Cricetulus griseus: one gene and its partner. Each later gene encodes a partner of the first gene's protein in a complex. Links are inferred from orthologs where the notes say so. Each region holds a gene or a part of one and is shown on either strand. Other genes may lie near its edges. The genes, in order: Eif3i and Eif3e.

What was found.
Region 2: Eif3i (region 1) and Eif3e share a complex: the UniProt entries of both Homo sapiens proteins name them as parts of the eukaryotic translation initiation factor 3 (eIF-3) complex. The link is inferred for Cricetulus griseus from reciprocal best matches to the Homo sapiens genes EIF3I and EIF3E.

The regions. Positions count from the first base shown.
Region 1 is NC_048595.1:23,438,845-23,446,037, forward strand, and holds the end of Eif3i (eukaryotic translation initiation factor 3 subunit I), read left to right. Parts: intron 1-368; coding exon 369-434; intron 435-1,662; coding exon 1,663-1,812; intron 1,813-1,891; coding exon 1,892-2,019; intron 2,020-3,347; coding exon 3,348-3,458; intron 3,459-3,573; coding exon 3,574-3,663; intron 3,664-4,109; coding exon 4,110-4,183; intron 4,184-4,826; coding exon 4,827-4,919; intron 4,920-5,039; coding exon 5,040-5,121; 3' UTR 5,122-5,199; downstream 5,200-7,193. UniProt on the Homo sapiens protein: Component of the eukaryotic translation initiation factor 3 (eIF-3) complex, which is required for several steps in the initiation of protein synthesis.
Region 2 is NC_048603.1:9,476,144-9,483,745, forward strand, and holds part of Eif3e (eukaryotic translation initiation factor 3 subunit E), read left to right. Parts: intron 1-1,521; coding exon 1,522-1,648; intron 1,649-2,336; coding exon 2,337-2,438; intron 2,439-3,871; coding exon 3,872-3,981; intron 3,982-7,602. UniProt on the Homo sapiens protein: Component of the eukaryotic translation initiation factor 3 (eIF-3) complex, which is required for several steps in the initiation of protein synthesis.

The DNA of each region.
Region 1 (7,193 bases):
GCCCCCAGAGGCCAGAAGGTCATTGACCCCTGGAACTGGAATTGTGAGCCACCATATGGGGGTTGGGACTCTAACCTGGGACCTCTGGGAGAATAGCCAGTGCTCTTAACCACTATGCCATTTCTTTTCTTTTCTTTTCTTTTCTTTTCTTTTTTTTTTTTTTTTTTTTTTTTGGTTTTTTGAGACAAGGTTTCCCTGTGGCTTTGGAGGCTGTCCTGGAACTAGCTCTTGTAGACCAGGCTGGACTCGAACTCACAGAGATCCACCTGCCTCTGCCTCCTGAGTGCTGGGATTAAAGGCGTGCGCCACCACTGCCCGGCTCCCACTGTGCCATTTCTTGAGCCCAAGTTTCTTAACACCTTCTTCAGGGGACACCAAGCATGTCCTTACTGGCTCAGCTGATAACAGCTGTCGTCTCTGGGATTGTGAAACAGGTAAGCCTGGGCTATCCACTTTTCAACAAGAATTGACCAGCTTCAGTGTACCTGTCTAATTAAATATGTTTTGGAGAACTAGAGATAGATGGTTTCCAGTCTATAGATTCAGAGACCTCAAACAAAACAGCCAGGAAGTCACCTGAGGAAAGAAGCTTCATGTTTAAGATAATAAGCCATTCAACTTGAAAAATAAATAAAGGTTGGGAGTGATAATGAGCTATGTTCAAGGAAGGCCACAGAGGGACAGCGGACCTCCTGAGTGGGGAATGGGTGGCCTTGGGAGGTGGGAGCTGGGGCTTTCATTGACAGCAAAGTGCTTTGTCACAAGCAAGAATGAAAGCATGGAGTGTCCGATAAAAGGCTAGGACGAGCCGTGTGTGATGGTACACACCTTATCCCAGCACTGGGAGGCTGAGGCAGGAGAATGGAAAGTTTCAGGTAGCTTGGGGGTAGGGTAGATGAAACAGGAGGCTAGAGCCAGAAAAGCCTTGAGTGTGGAAGAGAAGACCTTAATTTCACATTCTGGGATCGGGGAAGTCATTGCCTTCACTCCTGATCTCAACAGGTTCCAATGGTCATACAGGTGGTCCTGCTTAAACTAATGGGGTCACAAAACAAAACTAGAAGTCACGAACCTGGGAAATGGACTGATAGTGGTGGTGATGGGGACAAGAGGGAGAGTAATCGGGGTATATTATATACATATGTGAAATTCCCAGGCGACAAAATAATTAAAATACAAAACTGCCCGGCAGTGGTGGTGGCGCACACCTTTAATCCCAGCATTCAGGAGGCAGAGGCAGGTGAATTTCTGTGAGTTCAAGGCGGGTTACAGGACAGCCAGGACAGTTACACAGAGAAACCCTGTCTCAAAACAACAAAATAAAAAAAAACTTGGCACACTGAGGAGTCTGATGAACAGGGAAGAATAGTGGACTGGTGGGTTTGAACAAGGTCCAAGCTGTAGAAGAGCTGACAGCCAAGGGGAGGCCATTATATTATTCTCGCTACTGGGTGATTACGTCTGCTTCTATGCTGGGACACGCAGGAGAAACAGTGTGAGAGGGAGACATAGCTGGGAACACGTTACTCTCAGGGTTGGTTCATGAGGAGATGCTGTAGGAGGGAGTTTAGCCTGTCGTCCTCAGGGCAGGAATGCTGTGAGACTCGGTAGGTGAGTGCAATAACATTAGACCAGAGTAACCTAGACCCCGCCTCTCCCCAGGGAAGCAGCTGGCCCTACTGAAGACCAACTCAGCCGTCCGAACCTGTGGCTTTGACTTCGGGGGTAACATCATCATGCTCTCCACAGACAAGCAGATGGGGTACCAGTGTTCTGTGAGCTTCTTCGATCTACGGGATCCAAGCCAGATTGGTGAGGGCTAGGACTAGGGGCGCTGGGGTGGGTGGTGTGACTTCAGATCCCAGGGCCTGACCTCTGCTGCTCTACACAGACACCAATGAGCCCTACATGAAGATCCCCTGCAATGACTCCAAGATCACCAGTGCCGTCTGGGGACCCCTGGGGGAGTGCATTATTGCAGGACATGAGAGTGGTGAGCTCAACCAGTATAGCGCCAAGGTAAGGGGCCAAGTGTTGCCAGATGACATCAGGTGTGGGAAGTACTCAGGCTATGTTACAGTGGTCACAAATAAGCATCTCCTGTCACTAGAGAATCAGACAGCAGCTTAAAAACAGCCAGTACATCCGGCACTGGTGGTGAACACCTTTAATCCCAGCACTCAGAATAGAGCTGAAGTAGTTGGTATACATGAGAATGTGGAGTCCTAGACGGTCATGATTATCGCCACGGTGCACTGTGGAGGCAGAGACATCCTAGTCTACAGAGCCAGTTCCAGGACAACCAGAGCTGTTAGATAGAGAAACCCTGTCTTGAAAACAAAAAACAAAACAAAACAAAAGGAATTGGAGATATAGTAATAAAAAGGAAGGGAAAAATAATATATTTACAGACAGGTGTGGTGGTCTAGAGCTATAACACAGCTGGTGAGAGCTGGGACCAGTGAAACAGGAGAATCAAAAGTTCCAGGCTGGTGGTGCACGCCTTAAATCCCAGCACTCGGGAGGCAGAGGCAGGCGGATCTCTGTGAGTTCAAGGCCAGCCTGGTCTCCAGAGTGAGTGCCAGGACAGACTCCAAAGCTACACAGAGAAACCCTGTCTCAAAAAACCAAAAAAAAAAAAAAAAAAAATTCCAGACTTGAGGGGAGCTGAGGTGAGACACACCTTTAATCCCATTACTTGGGGGCCAATGGCAGGTGGATCTGAGTTTGAGGTCTATGTAGCCAGTTCCAGGCCAGCCGGGTAAAGGTGAAATGTTGTCTCAAAAAAAAAAAAAAAAAAAAAAAATTTCCAGGTGTGCCTATGCTACAGAGTGAGTTTAGGGCCAACCTTAGAAGTTTAGTGGAGAGAGATGCCACAGTGGTTAAGAATGTTTGCTCCTTTTGCCAAGGACCTGAGTTCTGTTCCTAGCACTACATCGGGCAGTTCACAGTTGCCTGGGACTCCAGTTCTAGGGGGATTCAGTGTTGCCTGGCCTGTGGACACTGACACATGTCCTTGGACACATATCCATACACATATTTTTTTGTTTTTTTGAGACAGGGTTTCTCTGTGTAGCCTTGAGTGTCCTGCACCTTGCTGTATAGACCAAACTGGCCTTGAACTCACAGAGATCCCCCTGCCTCCTGAATACTGAGGTTAAAGTCATGCATCAACACTGTTCAGTGTTTGAGTACTTGGGGTATTTGGGGTCGATCAATCCCAAAAATAAAGCTGGCATGGGGTTAGATTGAGGTAAGAAAGGTATAAAATGAAAAGTCTAGCTTGTCTGAAGTTTCTAGGGGAATAGTGGCTTGGGACTCCAGCAAGTCTCTTCTTCCTCCTCCAGTCTGGGGAGGTGTTGGTGAGCGTTAAGGAACACTCCCGGCAGATCAATGACATCCAGCTATCTAGAGACATGACCATGTTTGTCACCGCGTCCAAGGACAACACAGCTAAGGTCAGCCTGGGTATGGGTCTGGTGGAGCTTTGTTTGCCCCTCTGCTGCACATTCAACCAGTCTGACCTGCCCAAAAAGTTGCCCAACCCAGATTCTCCTCCTCCCTTCTCTCCAGCTCTTTGACTCCACGAGTCTTGAACATCAGAAGACTTTCCGAACAGAACGTCCCGTCAACTCGGCTGCCCTCTCTCCCAACTATGACCATGTAAGAAGACCCCACTCATGCTTCCTGCTTCTGGAGTCTGAGTATATGACCAATGCTAGGGCTGTAATTGTTGGGGAATAGTGTCAGAGAAGGGGCACCTAGGATTGTTACAGTGCTGATTGATTGGGCTTAGGGAAGTGAGCTGGGGAAACCTGACATGACTACTCATCCCTTTCTTGAGGATACTCCTGCTGTGGGTGGGAGACCTCAGCCAAGGACAGAAACCTGTAAATAAGTCCTGGTTGTACCTGAACTTTCCTTTCCTTTCCTTTCCTTTTCTTCTCTGCCCCCCCCCTTTTTTTTTCTTTTTTGGTTTTTCAAGACAGGTTTTCTCGGAACCTGTGTAGCTGGCCTCAAACTCACAGAGATCCTCCTGCCTCTGCCTCCCAAGTGCTGGGATTAAAGGCATATGCCGTCACCATCTTTCTGAACTTTCTTTTCTTTAGGTGGTGCTAGGAGGTGGCCAGGAAGCCATGGATGTGACCACAACTTCCACCAGGATTGGCAAGTTTGAAGCCAGGTAAAGGGGAAGCAAGCTCTTCCATATTGAAACCACATAAGGATTGTGACAGATGTCTAATACAGGAAATGAGGACAGCTGGGCATCTGTCTGGCTAAAGTGCCCTGCTGGCAAACCAGGTGCGTCCCTAGCACTACCATTGGGCCGTGGCCCCAAGCCTCTAACACAGTTCCAGTCACTCCAGAGATGGAAGAGCGTGAGTTTCAAAGTCATCCTTGGCCTCAGCCAACTCCTAGCTCACTTGGCTACACAGGACCCTATCTCTAAACAACAGCAGAGATCATGAACTCAGGGCCTAGATGAGCCTGTCTTTTTCTCTGTGCCTGTGATTTCCAACTGTTTAATGGCCAGAGATAGTGTACTCTCCTCAGAAATGTGTGCAGATTAAGTAAATGATTAATATTTAGTAAACTTTAGAGCACTGCCCAGTACATGCCTGGTGTTTGTTGTATATTGAAGCAGACAATTGGGCAGTCTTCCTATAACTTCATTATTTCTTTCCATCTCCTAATTTCTCTACTTTATTAATTTTGTTACGTAGAATACTGTCCTCAACAGTCTTCATTTTTTCAGAGTGCTGCCTCAAGTGTGTTTGAGGAGATGGAGACTAAATAACTGCTCTCCTACCCACCCTCTCTTCCAGGTTCTTCCATCTGGCTTTTGAAGAGGAGTTTGGAAGAGTCAAGGGCCACTTTGGACCTATCAACAGTGTTGCCTTTCATCCTGATGGCAAGAGGTATGGCCCCATTGAAGGGAGTGATCTCAGCGGCCGGGGGTCTCTGCCTGTTTGCTCTGTCTGGCTGCCCAGACTTCCCTTCTCAGCAGCATCTGATCATCACTGCCCATCTCTTAACAGCTACAGCAGCGGTGGTGAAGATGGTTACGTCCGCATCCATTACTTCGACCCGCAGTACTTTGAGTTTGAGTTTGAGGCCTGAAGCTGGATCTCCATCCACCGGGGAGGCTGCTCAAGAGGGTTTTAGACTCTTTAGAAATAAATTAGTTTGGTAAAAATAGTTTCTGGTCAGCCATTTTGCACAGCTTGTCAGGTTCTCCTGCTTCACTGACCCTCTGCTGGCTGAAAGTAATAGGAATACTTTGTTCTGCAGGCTTTCTCTCTGCACCCAGACTCTGCATTGCTCTGGGCTAGCCTGTGTAGCTGGCACTTTTCATCCACCACGGTCAAGAAGCCGCTGCCTAAGAAAGGGCTCAGGCTGATGCATGCTATAGTCTGAGAACCTTCCCTCTTCCTTTTCTGTGGATTTGATGGCTCGGGTGAGCGGGGCCAACTGGACCAGCACAGAAAAGGGGCTGAGGAAACAGAAAGGTAAGGAAGCCCAGCAGGGAGAGAATTCTCCAGGGGAATGCTTAGGGCTTACCTCACCATAGGCTCAGGCTCTGGGGCTCCACAGAAAGCAATGTGGCTAAGGAGTTGAAGAGTAGTTGAACTGAAGGTGGCTCTCAGTTCTAGCACCCACGTTGGGCAACTCAGAACTACCAGTAACCTCAGTTTAATCCCTAGGACCCAGGTGGAAGAGAATCAGCACCTGAGAGCTGTCTGCTGACCTTCGGGTGCCATGACACCTGTGCCTATATACACACCACACACTATAAATATATGTGTAGTGTTTTTGCCTGGTGCCCATGAAGGCCAGAAGAGGATATCAGATCCTCTGGAACTGGAGTTAGACAGTTGTGGGTTACTGTGGATGCTAGAAACCAAACCCAGGTCTTGGGCAAGAGCAGGAACTACTCTAACACTGGACTGTCCACAACCCCTAAATGTATTTCTTTGGGTCTTTGTTTGTTCTGAGACGGGGTCTCTATGTAACCCAAGCTGTCTTGAAAGTCACTATGTAGAACAGGCTGGCCTCAAGCTCTGCGTGCCTCTGCTCCCCAAGTGGTGGGAGTGTACATCACCACAAATGGCTAAAAGTGGCTTTATTATAGTCCTGGGGATTGAGCCTGAGCTTGTGTGTGCTAGGCAAGCCCTCCAGCCCTGGCTTGGTTTGTAGTGCTGAACATGAACACAGTAGTTCTTAGAAAAGAAAGCCTTAATTCCTTACAGTTTCAGAGGTGTAGTCCATTGTCATGGCTAGGACCATGGTGGCAGCCAAGCAGACATGGTGCTGGGGAAGGAGTTGGGAGGTGGGAGTCAGCAGACAGCAGGAAGAGAGCCATTGGTCTTGGAATGAGCTTTTTGAAAGACCTTTCTCAATGCTCACAGCCAGTGACACTTCCTCCAACACAGTCACACCTCCTAATCTTTATAAACGGTGCCATTCCCTGGTGATAAAGCATCCAAACCCATGAGCCTATGGGGGCCATTGTCATTCTGATCACCTCAGCCATGAGCTACATCCCCAGCATGTAATCCTTATTTCTAAGGTGCACTTGTTCTTGTCTGTGAGTAGAATATGTGGCAGACCGTCTTTCTGGGTTTGCAGAAGTTGAAGAGACACGTGACACAGGGAAGGGCACTCATGTTTTCTGAAAGAAGCTCTTGGGAAGGAGAAGTGAGCATAGAGTGGGTCTCTGCCTGTCTCTGGCCCTCTTCATGCTGACATCTCTTCACTGTTGTAGAAGAAGATGCCAAAGAATCAGGAATAGGTTATGTTCAAGCATTGCCAATAGCAGCCCCTCCCTAAATTGCACCAGCCATAGGAACTGGAAACTTAACTGCTCCTGGGCATGGGAAGTCAAGTAGGCATAGCCTAGCCGGAAGGTGTGGCCAGTCAGGTCAGGGAGAAGCAGTGGGCATCAGGAAATGGTTTCTGGGTAGAAGGGATGGGCTAGATTTAGTTGACCAGTGACCTGAATCCAATCTACCATCTCAGCTGCTGGAACCCATCCAGCAAAGTCACAAGCAAGGCACTGTATCTTCAGCCTCATGTGTCAGGATACAGGCTCCTCCCCTGTGGGCCCAGGCAACTGGAGTCTTCCCTGCCTGGGTGGCCAGATCAAAAATAAAATAAGCTGAGTTCTAGACTATATATTTATAAATAAGTAT
Region 2 (7,602 bases), on another chromosome or scaffold:
CATCCCACTGCCCAGTGGTGTGCACTGTCATGCCCAGCTCATTTGCAGTCAGTTTTCATAAGCACTTCTGAATTTGAACCCAGTCTTATCCCCAGTGAAGGAATTCCACTTGTCTTATTATTTGTACTTTTAAAACATGAACTCTCAAATGCTCTATCTTGTGTTTTGTCAGTAAACTGTTCTAGAAATTTGACTTCTCTTTAAGTAAGTACCTGTGTACTCCTGGTTCTTCACAACTCTTCTTGTCAGTTTCTGTGAATACCTGTATTCACATTATCGCAAGGTTGTGGCTGACCAGGATGTGAAAACACTGTGTAGTGACAGAAATTAAAAGAAAACCAGTGTAGCCTCATCTGATAAATTTTAGATAAATTTTTAGCATCTTCCACAAATGCTTAACTGAAGAGATCCACTTCAAACCTGATACAAGACAGAATGTCGCACAAACTATTGTTTGACATGGGCATCGCACCAGGCCGCTGGACCCCGGGCCGGGCTTGTGAAGATGCAGTTCTCAGCTGCTACATAGGGTTCTCGGCCTAGAAGCTGGGTTCCTTAGGGTGCTGTTGTTTCACCTCATCTTAATCTGGGGCATTTAGGAGAGGGCAGGTGTTACTAAATTCTAAAGTCCCGAAGGAGTTGATAGGAATCTGTAATGCAGTGATGTATGTGTGTATGTGCACATGCCATAGTCTAGGAGAGCATGGAAGTTAAAATATTAAAAAGCTGCCTGGAAGTTCATCTTCTGAGAAGTTAGAACAATTTCTATGGAGTCAGCTATGTAGAGGGGGCCTGGATCGATTCTTTAGAACTTGAATGTATACCTTTGAGAAATAACTTACAGACAGATAATTCTGAACTCAGCATCATACGTGCCTGAGGAAAGTATTCGGGTACCACACATTGGATCTGTATAAGCAAATTGTTCAGGAGAAATGCAGTGAGTTAGAGGGTTGTCTTCAGTCAATAGTAGCAGGATTTGGTAAATCAGAGCTGAGACCCCATAAACTGAGACCTCAATTTATTCCTGGTTTCCATGATTGCCACTGCTGCAGATGGAATCCAAGCCATAATGGATGTAATAATGTCCTCATTGTTTTACTCTTAGAATCAGCAAAATTATTTAATTTGTGTAAGAGCCCAGTTTCCTCCACTTGCACATACAAAGTTTCACTCTTTTGTTCCATGCAGAGGGAAAGTCATCACTATTTCCAGCTATTGGAGTAAAGTGATAATGTATCTAATAGTGTATCTGTTCCGCAATAGTAGCAACATACTTAGATTCTTCAGTGAGGCTTCCAGCTCACTGGCATTTGGCAATAGTGATGAGATTCCCATCCTGTTAAGTGGATTCTGCTTATTTTATACGTGTCTATTCCCTTGTAATAGTTATTCTTAAATGTTTGTAATATTTGGCTAAACAATGTAGTCAGATGTTTCCTTTAATTCACACTGAATTATATACATTGAAAGTTGTGGGAGTTTAGTGACTATCAAGTAACTGTTGTATTTGGACCTTAGGTACCTTAACGCAATCCAGACAATGTGTCCACATATTCTTCGCTATTTGACCACTGCTGTCATAACAAACAAAGATGTGCGGAAACGCCGGCAAGTTCTGAAAGATCTGGTGAAAGTTATTCAACAGGTAAAACTCAGCACCGTGAAGCACTAAAACGTCAAGTGTACTCTTCTAAAGTCAGACTCTGGGGTCTTAGGTGAAAGCATGTGGCGTGGAAGGGAAGTTAGAAGAGAGCCGAGCCCTGAGCCTTTACTTTGTACATTCCCAGTATTTACATGACATATGTGACATGAGTGAGTGATTGTGCCTTCTTAAGACTCAGCTTGCTGGAGCTCACAGGGGTGGCTGGGAGAGTTGTCACTGCACAGCACAGTGGGGACCTTTTTATAGACTATAGAGCAGCCGTCCATCAGGTGGACAGAGCCACTGCTGGTTGATTTCAAATTGAACTGCTCAGAAAAACAAACACACACAGCCCAAGGAATCTCTTTAACTTAAAAATGCATTGATACAAAGCAGTGATTGTTACAGCAGAGTTATTATATCTTCATAGCTGGAAAAATTCTCCATTGTTCATTGACTAAAGGAGACTATTAGATTTGAAAACTGTTGGAATAATTCTAAGGTGAGAGTTTAGAGACTTTGATTTGGACAATACTACAAATTTACTGTGTTACAGGTACTTTGAGAAGATGACATTGGATTATTGGCTGTGAATTCATGATAAGAGGACTAGGAGATGGGTGTGCTTTATAGGCAGTGTGCTTAACAGTGCTCAGCGAGACCTAACTGGACATTTGACTTGATTTTGCAGGAGTCTTACACATACAAAGACCCAATTACAGAATTTGTTGAATGCTTGTATGTTAACTTTGACTTTGATGGGGCTCAGAAAAAGCTGAGGGAATGTGAATCCGTAAGTATGAATTTTACTAAGCAGCTTACATTCTTCAGTTTCTAGACGTGATAATGAAGTAGCTGAAATAGGAGGAAGCTAAATGGCAGATTATTGGTAGAAGGACGTCGTGTAGTTAGCATTGCCTCCTTTGCTTAGGAAAGTTAAAGCAGCAGCTGTTTTGAATGCATCTTGGTCTCTGTGAATCTTTGTTTTTCTCATCTGGTTCACGAGTCCATATGTATCACAGCTTTAACTCTTATGTTTGGAGTTACTTTTAGAATTTTTAAGTGATTGTATTGAACACTTCCTAAAATACTCAACCATTGTAGTTATGAATTTTATACTTAATCTTTTCTATTGTTTTTGGTTGACAATAAAGTTATTTCAGAGACAGTCTGGAACTTGATACATAGACCAAACTGTCAGGGGACTCAGAGATCCATCCACCTGCCTCTGCCTCCCAAGTGTTGGCATTAAAGGCCTGCACCATCACCCTGCTGCTGTTTTGTGTGTGTTTTGTTTCATTTTCTGAGAGCTTTCCCTTTGTAATGTTGTGGGCAGGCATGGGGAAGACAGAAGACAACTTGGTGGGTGGGGTCTGTTTTGTCATTTCCGCATTGCCTGGTTCCAGGGTTCTAACATGGCTCTTAGGCGTACATGCCGTGCCTCACCCGCTGAGCCATCTCCAGGACTTTGCCACATCTAGTTACTTAAGTGATTAGTTCATATTCACAACATATTTTAGGGTTGAGTGAGATTGGGTGAATACACAGTTTGCTATCTATCTTAAGCTGGCCTTAGGCCCTTGATCTTTGTCCCTTAGTTTGTTGAGTGCTGGGCTTGTAGGTGTTCAACACCATGCTCATCTAGTTTCATCTTTTAAAATCAAATTTTGGGGAAAAGTATCCAATTTAACTAGGATCTTGTTTCTCTAAGGAAAAATGTAAATATATATTGTGGTAGTTTCTGAGTATTAGTCAACATAGAAAACTAAAATCTAGCTTGATAATTTGTATGCTTAGAACTATGTGAAAGTTACACATTGCTGTTGAAATAATCACTTTTAGTTATTACTTACTGTCTTTGAAATAGGAGCCATGCCTTGCACTGTTCTATTTGTCTTGCGTTGCAGAAAGTTCATGTCCTTAGTCCGTTCCTTCCTTTAAGTAGCTAGAGCATGTTGGACAAAACAAAGCATGACAGGAAGTTGCTCTGTTATTTCAAATCATCAAGGAGCCACTAAGGCTTCTTGGAGGTTTTCTTCCATCATTCTTTAACTACTTGTTTAAATAATTAAGGACTTGAACATGAGCAATATTCTGGAAAGTGCTATGCTATAGGATTTTTTAGATAGATTATAGTGAATAGAGCAGTAAAGTAGGCAAAGTGAGTCAAGTTTTTAAAAAGAGTTGTCAGTGTCATTAATTTTTAAATATATTTTATGTATATAGGTGCTTGTGAATGACTTCTTCTTGGTGGCTTGTCTTGAGGACTTCATTGAAAATGCCCGTCTCTTCATATTTGAAACTTTTTGTCGTATCCACCAGTGTATCAGCATTAAGTAAGAATACTCAGATTGGATATATATTATCTACCTTTATAGTCTCTGGAAATCGCCATTTATTATAATGTTACATGTAACAAAATTTCAGTTCATTCCATTTTTATTTATCTTTGCTTTTAGAAGAAAAAGAAAATTTGCTACTAACGTGAAATTTTTAATGTTTGAATTTTGAGAACTCTTTAGTCTTTGTGTGGTAGAATATGATTTCTGCAAGTGACAAGTTGAAGGTGTAAACTTTGAGTTACCTTTTTAAAGAGTGACTAGTGTACCGAGATGAGGGGATATTTAAGATGGTTTTCAGCAGTAGGTCAGATGAGTTAGCCCTTAGTAAATGGGAAATTTTGTTGTAAGACCACTACATTTGGTAATAATTTCTGTTAATTAAGTTTGTTTATTTAATTACATATTTGAATTCTCATATAGTAAGCTCCTGTGACATCCTAAAATGTTGAAACATGGAAAGCTTGTGGTGAATTTTAGTTGAAAGTTTCTCTGTTGTGTGAGAAAATAATTGGGAAAATTGTGAAATGAACATGACCTATTAGAAACTAATTTCATATATTAGGCTTTTAAAATTATGAGTGCACTTTGGCCAGAGATGAAGTCAAATATAAAACATAAGAACTTAGTACTTTTAATGTTTGCCTCTGAGGAATTTTGTGTAAACCAAATTTTGTTTCTTAATGCCATTTGTTTTTGGTAGGAGATCTATCCATACTTGCCTAATTTTAGTGGGATGTCCTTGAAGTGGTTGTGTAGAGTTGGTAGTATAGTGTGATCACTGGGCCTTTCTTACTGGGATTAGGACTTTGTTGTAGTTTGCAGACATGCTTTTTAAAATTGGTTTTCTTCCTAGTCTTAGTATACAATTGATGTATGATTAAAAAGGCAGGCCCATCACTTACGGACTGACTGACAGTAGATACCTGAACTATATTGTTTTGAAGATTTGTAGTTTGGGCTTCTCTGTGAGACAGAAATGCTTAGTATTTTGGTATCCATTCATAGTTTTCTCCATTCCCTCATAGGCTGTGTTTGTTGTCTTGTGTTTGGGATTGATTTGTTTTGTTTGCACGTATGTTTGACTAGAACTGCTTTAACTGCTCCTTTGTTTATAGCAAATTTAGTACAAATCTTTGTAGTGAATGTATGTATTCCGAACATTTTATGTCATAAGGCTTCTTTGTATTTTGCTTCTGAGGTATCATGGACAAGGAATTTGTAATAATTCTAGCTCTTTACATTTACAAATTGCTATTTGAGTTTATTATTTTGTTTCTTAGAATTGAGTTTACTGTGTTCATGTGTAGCCTGGTGGTAATAACAGACTAGGACTGTCTCTGAATGTTTATGGTTTTATGTGGGTTGCTTGGCTTGCTTTTTTCTACTGCTGGGATCCAACTAGGACCTTGTAATTGTTAGGCAAGCCCTGACCACTGACTGACCTGTGCACAGAGTTTTCCCATTTGTCTGATACACATTGTACTTTTTCTTGGATCACTTTTCTTTTCTGCTAGACTGTAAAGAATCTTAAACTAAATTTCTAGAGGCATTCCAAAGGCCTGGGGTCCTCTAGTCCTCGTGTTGCATTTACTTGAGGTTGTTTAAACTTTTTTTGTGCCAGCCTTAGCAGATTAAAAGTACAAAAAAATGAGCAATTTAAGGAATATGTAGATGTGAATTATTTTTCTTCAAAACAGTAGATGAGTTCAGGCATATTCAGGTTGGTATGATGTTTTCAGATATTAAATGTTTTGAGCTGCAAGAACTCTTAGAAAAATCTGTTAATCTAATACTGCTCAGCTGTAGAAAAGTTTTGTCTTTACAGTAGATGAGTGTCAAAGAACGTAGACGTTCCTGTAGTGGTGGAGGATGTGTTTTATGTCTTCATTGTTCGTCCTGGGGCACTTGCAGCGTGACATGCATTTTTAGTTGTAGAACCAGGGCTTTCAGAGGTCTGCACGGGAGCAGTTTGGCCTTCTGTCACTCGTGTGTATGCTGTTTTGTTACACATTTTTCCTGGCGTTTCTTTGGAACCCCAAGACTGCTAGAAATTTTACTCTGTGCGCCCCTTGTACTTAACTGGAAGCCTTATGGTTTTCTATCATCCAGCTGCTGCCTAGATCACCCTGTGTTATCCGGCTTAGGCTGGAAAGCCTACACTGTACCGTTCTCACTATGAATTGTTTGTTGTGAACAGTTTATATTCTTAGAAATAATCTTTATATAAATTGTTTAGAATACTAGTTGAGCTGAAGAGTAAACATGAGATCCATGTCAGTTTTTAATTATGTATCGCACAATCCTTAGTTGTGTTCACCACACGCAGATGAGATGGATGGCAGGGCTGTCAGCTCTGCCTTGAGGGTCGGCTGTCTCACATCATAGTCAGAACTCAAATACTCAGATCCCGTCACATCTCTTTAGAGGTGATAGGCCAGAATCATTTTTTAGCCATGCAAAATACATCTCCTTTGAGTAATTAAGTGATAGACCAGTGTCTTTTTTTTTTTTTTTTTTTTTTTTTTTTGGTTTTTCGAGACAGGGTTTCTCTGTGTAGCTTTGGAGCCTATCCTGGCGCCCGATCTGGAGACCAGGCTGGCCTCGAACTCACAGAGATCCGCCTGCCTCTGCCTCCCGAGTGCTGGGATTAAAGGCATGCACCACCAACACCTGGTGACCACTGTCTTTAGTATATTGAATTTAGTGAACCTTTTCATGTTTTTAAAGCTATTTTACTGGATCAGAATAGCAGCAGCTGAAAGTAATGTAAAGTATTTATATTAGGATTTTACAGATGCATTAGATCGCTTAATTCAGACTCCAGTGACAGAATCCATGAAAATGATCAACAGAACTAGCCTTTGTCTTTAAACAATGCGCAGAACACAATTTGCAATGTGTTCTCTGATCTAGAGGTATTTTAAAACCCTTACATATCGAAGTCATCTCAAGAAGAAGGTATAAAGCAGCTTCAGTTGAATTGATTTTTCTTGCTTCACCCAAACCTTCTGAATGAAAATGTAACTAACACCTTCTGGGTCAAAGCATAACTAACAATATAGCTTTTCAAAGATCGCAAGTGTTAGCTGGACCCTAGGGGTTGAGAGTGACTTTCCTCAGAGAACTTGAGTATGGAGGAGGAAGCAGATACCAAGTGCACAGGCAGGTTCAGAAGTATGTATGTTGATAGGTGTCCTTACTTTTGCTTTTCTATTGCTGTGTAGACACACCATAACTATGAAAATTTATAAAAGAAAGCATTTAGTTGGGACTTGCTTACATACAGCTTCAGAGGGTGAGTCCATGGCCATCCTGATGGGGAGTGTGGTGCAGGCAGGCATGCGGGCATCGTGCTTGAGCAGTAGCTGGAAGCTTCCATCTTGTCTATAGGCAGGAGGCAGAGAGCCAGGCTGGGACTGGTGTGGGACTTTTGAAACCTCAAAGCCCACTCCTTGTGACAAGGCCAGCAAGACCTCCTAGTCCTTCCTAAAGAGTCTACCTTCTAGGAACCAAACATCCAAGTATGTGAGCCTGTGGAGCCATTGTCACCTCAGCTGTCACAATAGACACTTGAAGAACAAGGTAGAGTGACTAGGAAGAATCCATGAGCACATA